Xenopus tropicalis: one gene and its partner. The protein of the gene in region 2 purifies or fractionates together with the protein of the main gene of each other region. This does not show direct contact. Links are inferred from orthologs where the notes say so. Each region holds a gene or a part of one and is shown on either strand. Other genes may lie near its edges.

Region 1 (4,104 bases), on a different chromosome or scaffold from region 2:
CCTACAATTGTCCGGCCTCCCTTGGTGGTTTCCTCACCGTTACAAAGTACCGAATACCCCCCCCACCCCACCCCGAGCCCCCAGTGTCACTAACGCACAGAGTGGGCGCAGGGTCCCCTACCCACACACACTGTGCCAACACTGCCCAATCAGCAGTCAGAAGGAATGCAGCCAATGGGAGGGGGGCACAGACAGGACTTTATGTATCACTGCCCCCAGTATATGCGCCCCATTACACCCTATATATACCCCCTGTATATTGGATACAGCATCGGGGCTGTGCACCCTGCACCCTACTGGCACTACGGGGGCATAAATGGATCAGGACTGGGGAGCACAGCAGGGCCCCAGGGAACCCCCATATAATTAGGGGGCACTACTCCTCTTTGTTATCAGGGAGCTCTCTGCCCTTTACCCACATACCAAACTGACAGTTATAATAGGGACCCCCTACCTTCAGCCCTGTATCCCAGCAACCCCTTGCACTCATGGTTACAAGACCTCCCTCAGGCAGGTTCTGAAATGGGATGTACCCCAGCGCCCCCCACTGGCCCTGCACCCCAGCGTCCCCCACTGGCCCTGCCCCCCAGCGCCCCCCACTGGCCCTGCCCCCCAGCGTCCCCCACTGGCCCTGCACCCCAGCGTCCCCCACTGGCCCTGTAATCCAGCGTCCCCCACTGGCCCTGCACCCCAGCGCCCCCCACTGGCCCTGCACCCCAGCGCCCCCCACTGGCCCTGCACCCCCCACTGGCCCTGCCCCCCAGCGGCCCCCACTGGCCCTGCCCCCCAGCGGCCCCCACTGGCCCTGCCCCCCAGCGGCCCCCACTGGCCCTGCCCCCCAGCGGCCCCCACTGGCCCTGCCCCCCAGCGGCCCCCACTGGCCCTGCCCCCCAGCGGCCCCCACTGGCCCTGCCCTCCAGCGGCCCCCACTGGCCCTGCCCCCCAGCGGCCCCCACTGGCCCTGCACCCCAGCGGCCCCCACTGGCCCTGCACCCCAGCGGCCCCCACTGGCCCTGCACCCCAGCATCCCCCATTCCAGGATTACAACTCATGCAGCCCAGCAGTACCCCCAAGCCGTACATTCCAGGATTATATCCCATGTAGCCCAGTAGTACCCCCAACCCATACATTCCAGGATTATAACCCATGTAGCCTAGCAGTACCCCCAACCCATACATTCCAGGATTATAACCCATGTAGCCCAGCAGTACCCCCAACCCATACATTCCAGGATTATAACCCATGTAGCCCAGTAGTACCCCCAACCCCTACATTCCAGGATTATAACCCATGTAGCCCAGTAGTACCCCCAACCCATACATTCCAGGATTATAACCCATGTAGCCTAGCAGTACCCCCAACCCATACATTCCAGGATTATAACCCATGTAGCCCAGTAGTACCCCCAACCCCTACATTCCAGGATTATAACCCATGTAGCCCAGTAGTACCCCCAACCCATACATTCCAGGATTATAACCCATGTAGCCTAGCAGTACCCCCAACCCATACATTCCAGGATTATAACCCATGCAGCCCAGCAGTACCCCCAACCCCTACATTCCAGGATTATAACCCATGTAGCCCAGTAGTACCCCCAACCCATACATTCCAGGATTATAACCCATGTAGCCTAGCAGTACCCCCAACCCATACATTCCAGGATTATAACCCATGTAGCCCAGTAGTACCCCCAACCCCTACATTCCAGGATTATAACCCATGTAGCCCAGTAGTACCCCCAACCCATACATTCCAGGATTATAACCCATGTAGCCCAGCAGTACCCCCAACCCATACATTACAGGATTATAACCCATGTAGCCCAGCAGTACCCCCAACCCCTACATTACAGGATTGTAGCCCAGCAGTACCCCCAACCCATACATTACAGGATTATAACCCATGTAGCCCAGCAGTACCCCCAACCCCTACATTACAGGATTGTAGCCCAGCAGTACCCCCAACCCATACATTACAGGATTATAACCCATGTAGCCCAGCAGTACCCCCAACCCATACATTACAGGATTATAACCCATGTAGCCCAGTAGTACCCCCAACCCCTACATTACAGGATTGTATCCCAGCAGTACCCCCAACCCCTACATTACAGGATTGTAGCCCAGCAGTACCCCCAACCCATACATTACAGGATTATAACCCATGTAGCCCAGCAGTACCCCCAACCCCTACATTAGAGGATTGTATCCCAGCAGTACCCCCAAGCCGTACATTAGAGGATTGTATCCCAGCAGTACCCCCAAGCCGTACATTAGAGGATTGTAGCCCAGCAGTACCCCCAACCCCTACATTACAGGATTGTAGCCCAGCAGTACCCCCAACCCATACATTACAGGATTATAACCCATGTAGCCCAGTAGTACCCCCAACCCCTACATTACAGGATTGTATCCCAGCAGTACCCCCAACCCCTACATTACAGGATTGTAGCCCAGCAGTACCCCCAACCCATACATTACAGGATTATAACCCATGTAGCCCAGCAGTACCCCCAAGCCGTACATTAGAGGATTGTATCCCAGCAGTACCCCCAAGCCGTACATTAGAGGATTGTATCCCAGCAGTACCCCCAAGCCGTACATTGCAGGATTAATGTGAGTGCCCCAGAGCCCCCGGTACCTCGGAACTTGAGCTCATGCTGGGGCTCCAGCTGAAGGATCTGCTCCACCTTGGCCATGTCTCCCGTGTGGGCTGGGGGTCCGGGCCTGTCCCGGCGGCGGTGGCGGCTGCAGGAGCGGGTGATGCAGCAAAGCGGCGGAGGGCGGAGGCTGCTGTGACGTCACGGCCCCTGCAAGGCCCGGGGGTGAGCGGCGCGCAGGCGCAAGGGCTGGGGGCGGGGCCGCGGCTGCGCACTGGGGCTCAAGGGCCAACATGGCGGCGCCTGGGGGGGAGGGGCAAGTTAGCGCTGGCAGCGTATGTGCGGGACCCCGTATCCGCCCTGTGTAATGTCACATAGATATCCGGGAATATAAACCCGCGGGATCTCCCCTTATTGGTACCGGGTTGTCCCGCCCCTCCTGCCGGTACCGCTCTCTCCCGCCGCCGGTACCGCTCTCTCCCGCCGCCGGTACCGCTCTCTCCCGCCGCCCGTACCGCTCTCTCCCGCCGCCGGTACCGCTCTCTCTCCCACCGGTACCGCTCTCTCTCACCGCCGGTACCGCTCTCTCTCCCACCGGTACCGCTCTCTCCCGCCGCCCGTACCGCTCTCTCCCGCCGCCGGTACCGCTCTCTCCCACCGCCGGTACCGCTCTCTCCCGCCGCCGGTACCGCTCTCTCTCCCACCGGTACCGCTCTCTCTCACCGCCGGTACCGCTCTCTCTCCCACCGGTACCGCTCTCTCCCGCCGCCCGTACCGCTCTCTCCCGCCGCCGGTACCGCTCTCTCCCACCGCCGGTACCGCTCTCTCCCGCCGCCGGTACCGCTCTCTCCCGCCGCCGGTACCGCTCTCTCCCGCCGCCGGTACCGCTCTCTCCCACCGCCGGTACCGCTCTCTCCCACCGCCGGTACCGCTCTCTCTCACCGCCGGTACCGCTCTCTCCCACCGCCGGTACCGCTCTCTCCCACCTCCGGTACCGCTCTCTCTCACCGCCCGTACCGCTCTCTCCCACCGCCGGTACCGCTCTCTCCCGCCGCCGGTACCGCTCTCTCTCACCGCCCGTACCGCTCTCTCCCACCGCCGGTACCGCTCTCTCCCACCGCCGGTACCGCTCTCTCTCACCGCCGGTACCGCTCTCTCCCACCGCCGGTACCGCTCTCTCCCACCGCCGGTACCGCTCTCTCTCACCGCCCGTACCGCTCTCTCTCACCGCCCGTACCGCTCTCTCTCACCGCCCGTACCGCTCTCTCTCACCGCCCGTACCGCTCTCTCTCACCGCCCGTACCGCTCTCTCTCACCGCCCGTACCGCTCTCTCTCACCGCCCGTACCGCTCTCTCTCACCACCCGTACCGCTCTCTCACCGCCGCCCGTACCGCTCTCTCACCGCCGCCCGTACCGCTCTCTCTCACGCTCTCTCCCGCCGCCGGTACCGCTCTCTCTCCCACCGCCCGTACCGCTCTCTCCCGCCGCCGGTACCGCTCTC
Region 2 (4,224 bases):
GCAAAGCGCCTGCCTTCTGTCTGACATGGAATCCTTTAAGGTAAATGAGTGACGTCACAATGGTTGGTGCCCAGGGCGGCCATAGGGCAACGGGGACTTGTACCTCAGCATTGCCATGTCTGGTCTGATTGGTTGTAAAGTAACCGTCTCTGCACAGTTACCCCCTGCTGGGGCAGGAAAGGCTCCCACGGCAACAGCATGACGTCACAAGCCCAAGGAAGACTCACAGTGCAGGGCAGATTTCAGGACTGTGGATTTCAGACTGGCTGCTATACTCACTGCCCCTAGCAACCAGTCATTTGTTTAATGTTGCCATTATGGATGAAAAGTAGTGAGAGAATAGAAACAATAATAAGTAAATTAATATCTACCCTCGCCATCAGGTTGCTGGGGCGACGGTGCCTGTCGCTGGGGCGACTCCCAGTTTTTACAAATTTGAGCCAGGTCACTGCAGACTCAGCCAATCCCTGGCCAGAGCAATGACAAATCTGACCAATAGCAACTGTGATGTATTTTTGTTTTGCTTTCAGGCCGCCAATCCGGGCTGCTGCTTGGAGGACTTTGTCAGGTGGTATTCCCCCCGCGATTATATTGAAGAGGAGGTAATGGATGAAAAGGGCAACAAGATCGTCAAAGGAGAACTAAGCCCCCGAATGAAAATCCCCAATAACATGTGGGTGGAAGCCTGGGAAACGGCCAAGCCAATCCCTGCGCGCAGGCAGCGACGCCTGTTTGATGATACCAAAGAGGCTGAAAAGGTAATGGGTTGGGCGAGGTTTGTATTGTCAACTATATGGTCATACTTTACTGGGAACCCTATGGCAGCTCCCTCCCATATGTATAAATACAAATATACAGAGAGGGAATGTTCTGGGCACACAATAAGCTGTACCCCCATACTGTACTGTCTAAGGGAAACACTATGGCACCCCCTACCCATATGTATAAATACAAATATACAGAGAAGGAATGTTCTGGGCACACAATAAGCTGTACCCCCATACTGTACTGTCTAAGGGAAACACTATGGCACCCCCTACCCATATGTATAAATACAAATATACAGAGAAGGAATGTTCTGGGCACACAATAAGCTGTACCCCCATACTGTACTGTCTAAGGGAAACAATATGGCACCCCCTACCCATATGTATAAATACAAATATACAGAGAAGGAATGTTCTGGGCACACAATAAGCTGTACCCCCATACTGTATTGTCTAAGGGAAACACTATGGCACCCCCTACCCATATGTATAAATACAAATATACAGAGAAGGAATGTTCTGGGCACACAATAAGCTGTACCCCCATACTGTACTGTCTAAGGGAAACACTATGGCACCTCCTACCCATATGTATAAATACAAATATACAGAGAAGGAATGTTCTGGGCACACAATAAGCTGTACCCCCATACTGTACTGTCTAAGGGAAACACTATGGCACCTCCTACCCATATGTATAAATACAAATATACAGAGAAGGAATGTTCTGGGCACACAATAAGCTGTACCCCCATACTGTACTGTCTAAGGGAAACACTATGGCACCTCCTACCCATATGTATAAATACAAATATACAGAGAAGGAATGCTCTGGGCACACAATAAGCTGTACCCCCATACTGTACTGTCTAAGGGAAACACTATGGCACCCCCTACCCATATGTATAAATACAAATATACAGAGAAGGAATGTTCTGGGCACACAATAAGCTGTACCCCCATACTGTACTGTCTAAGGGAAACACTATGGCACCTCCTACCCATATGTATAAATACAAATATACAGAGAAGGAATGTTCTGGGCACACAATAAGCTGTACCCCCATACTGTACTGTCTAAGGGAAACACTATGGCACCTCCTACCCATATGTATAAATACAAATATACAGAGAAGGAATGTTCTGGGCACACAATAAGCTGTACCCCCATACTGTACTGTCTAAGGGAAACACTATGGCACCTCCTACCCATATGTATAAATACAAATATACAGAGAAGGAATGCTCTGGGCACACAATAAGCTGTACCCCCATACTGTACTGTCTAAGGGAAACACTATGGCACCCCCTACCCATATGTATAAATACAAATATACAGAGAAGGAATGTTCTGGGCACACAATAAGCTGTACCCCCATACTGTACTGTCTAAGGGAAACACTATGGCACCTCCTACCCATATGTATAAATACAAATATACAGAGAAGGAATGCTCTGGGCACATCATTGCATTATGTAATACACAGCTCTGTTTCCTGTGTAGGTTCTGCACTACCTGGCGGTTCAGAAGCCGGCTGACCTGACCCGACACCTCTTGCCCTGTGTTATTCACGCGGCTCTGCTGAAGTTAAAGGAGGAAGGTAAGTGCGTGGCTGTTGCACCCTGGCGGTGTCTCTGCCCATAATGGGCCGGGGCTGACGGTTGCTGTGCTACTTTCAGAGGCAGCGGAAGACGTTCCATCGGGCAGGAAAGCCATAAAGCAAATCATCTCCCATTCCAGCAAAGTCCTTCGTTTCCCCAGTCCTGACGACAAGAAACTGGAAGTAAGTGATTGGCCTCTTGACGCTCCGCCTTCTTACCCCTCCCCCCCCCTCTCTATTAAACCCGCTCTCTCCTCAGGACGTCATTGGCCAAATGTTGAACGTGGAAGCGACGATCGCCAGAGCGAGATCCCTAAAGGCCAAGTTTGCCGTCGACCGATGTGAAAAATCCGATGAGAAAGAGGATCTGGAAAAGTACGACTTTCTACTCGATCTTATTTAAAGGGGAAGTTCAACATATTATTTTACTGTGCCTAAGGGGGAAGACACACGGAGCTACTAGTAGCAGCTACTTGTCTCGGCTACTAAAACAGACAGTGCTGATCATTTACTGATAATTGTCTCTACGTGTGTTTAGCAGAGGCAATTCTCAGTATTGTCTATGGCAGGGGATTTTCTGGCAGCTGTGACAAGTAGCTGCTACTAAGTAGCTCTGTGTGTCTTCACCCTTAAAGCATAAAAGTGGCCTGAGGCAGTTTGCAGATGTTTTAATTTTTAAAGCAGACTGCCAGTACCTTGGCCATTGGTCTTTGTGTGAGACTTTCCATCTCACTTCAGGTCCCTGCTTTATTTGGCCTGGTTGCTAGAGTGAATGCTCCTAGCAACCACATAGTTTAAAAACCAGAAAGCTGCAGAACAGAAAATGATCATTCAGATGCCATGGATTTGGGGTCTGATACAGTCTTTCCCTAATTCTGCCTGCAGCAACACTCTCCATGCTGTGGGCCTATTCTTCCTTTGATGGTTTTAGACCTGCAGCTGCGCCCCCTTGTGTTAAAACCCATTGTGTGCAGCTGCTCCCCCTTATGTTACACCCCATTCAGTGCAGCTGCGCCCCCTTGTGTTACACCCCGTTCAGTGCAGCTGCGCCCCCTTGTATTACACCCCATTCAGTGCAGCTGCGCCCCCTTGTGTTACACCCCATTCAGTGCAGCTGCGCCCCCTTGTATTACACCCCATTCTGTGCAGCTGCGCCCCCTTGTATTACACCCCATTCAGTGCAGCTGCGCCCCCTTGTGTTACACCCCATTCAGTGCAGCTGCGCCCCCTTGTGTTACACCCCATTCAGTGCAGCTGTGAGTGGGGCCTGTTGGTGCCACATGAATATCTTTCCCTCCCTGGCAGGTTTGTGAGTTCCCTGCTGGAGCAGCCGGAGGTGCCGATCGTTGGTGCCGGGAGGGGGCCCGCTGGTACCATTATCCATAAGATGTTTGTAAGCGCTCAGAGGGTAAGTGGCCGTTCCTGCGGCTCGGGGGGGCACTTACAGTGGGGCAGTAACGGTACTTACAGATGTTCTGTTGGGCTCAGTTCTGCTGCACAGTCAGTACCGGCCGCCGCAGTTTGCGGGTTTGTTTTTAATTCCAGTACTGGTTCTGTTTAACTCTTTCACTGCTGGGCTTATTGGCCTTTCATTGGTTAATTTCATATTCTAATCAAGGCAAAATATATCATTTTCATACATTTTCCTGTCAGTGTTTCCTATTTCTCTCTGTGCCGCACCCTGTGCCCTGATCTACTAAACTGTCTTTTTGTCTGACCCTCCGTGCTGTCCTGGACTTGCCTGTCTCTGTCTCTCCCTGTCCCCTATGTCTCTCCCCCGTCCCCTATGTCTCTCCCCCGTCCCCTATGTCTCTCCCCCGTCCCCTCTGTCTCTCCCCCGTCCCCTCTGTCTCTCC

Evidence for each region. Proteins that work in one complex are often made in the same cells at the same time.
Region 1: the proteins of rab3gap1 (region 2) and vapb purify together in Homo sapiens (affinity purification with mass spectrometry; 4 studies listed by BioGRID and IntAct, counting the BioPlex papers as one, with this or other methods). This does not show direct contact. The link is inferred for Xenopus tropicalis from reciprocal best matches to the Homo sapiens genes RAB3GAP1 and VAPB.

What each region holds. Positions count from the first base shown.
Region 1 is NC_030686.2:2,710,414-2,714,517, reverse strand, and holds the start of vapb (vesicle-associated membrane protein-associated protein B/C), read right to left. Parts: upstream 2,801-4,104; 5' UTR 2,702-2,800; coding exon 2,644-2,701; intron 1-2,643. UniProt on the Homo sapiens protein: Endoplasmic reticulum (ER)-anchored protein that mediates the formation of contact sites between the ER and endosomes via interaction with FFAT motif-containing proteins such as STARD3 or WDR44.
Region 2 is NC_030685.2:84,345,194-84,349,417, reverse strand, and holds part of rab3gap1 (rab3 GTPase-activating protein catalytic subunit), read left to right. Parts: coding exon 1-40; intron 41-530; coding exon 531-758; intron 759-2,271; coding exon 2,272-2,368; intron 2,369-2,447; coding exon 2,448-2,551; intron 2,552-2,627; coding exon 2,628-2,743; intron 2,744-3,673; coding exon 3,674-3,776; intron 3,777-4,224. UniProt on the Homo sapiens protein: Catalytic subunit of the Rab3 GTPase-activating (Rab3GAP) complex composed of RAB3GAP1 and RAB3GAP2, which has GTPase-activating protein (GAP) activity towards various Rab3 subfamily members (RAB3A, RAB3B, RAB3C and RAB3D), RAB5A and RAB43, and guanine nucleotide exchange factor (GEF) activity towards RAB18.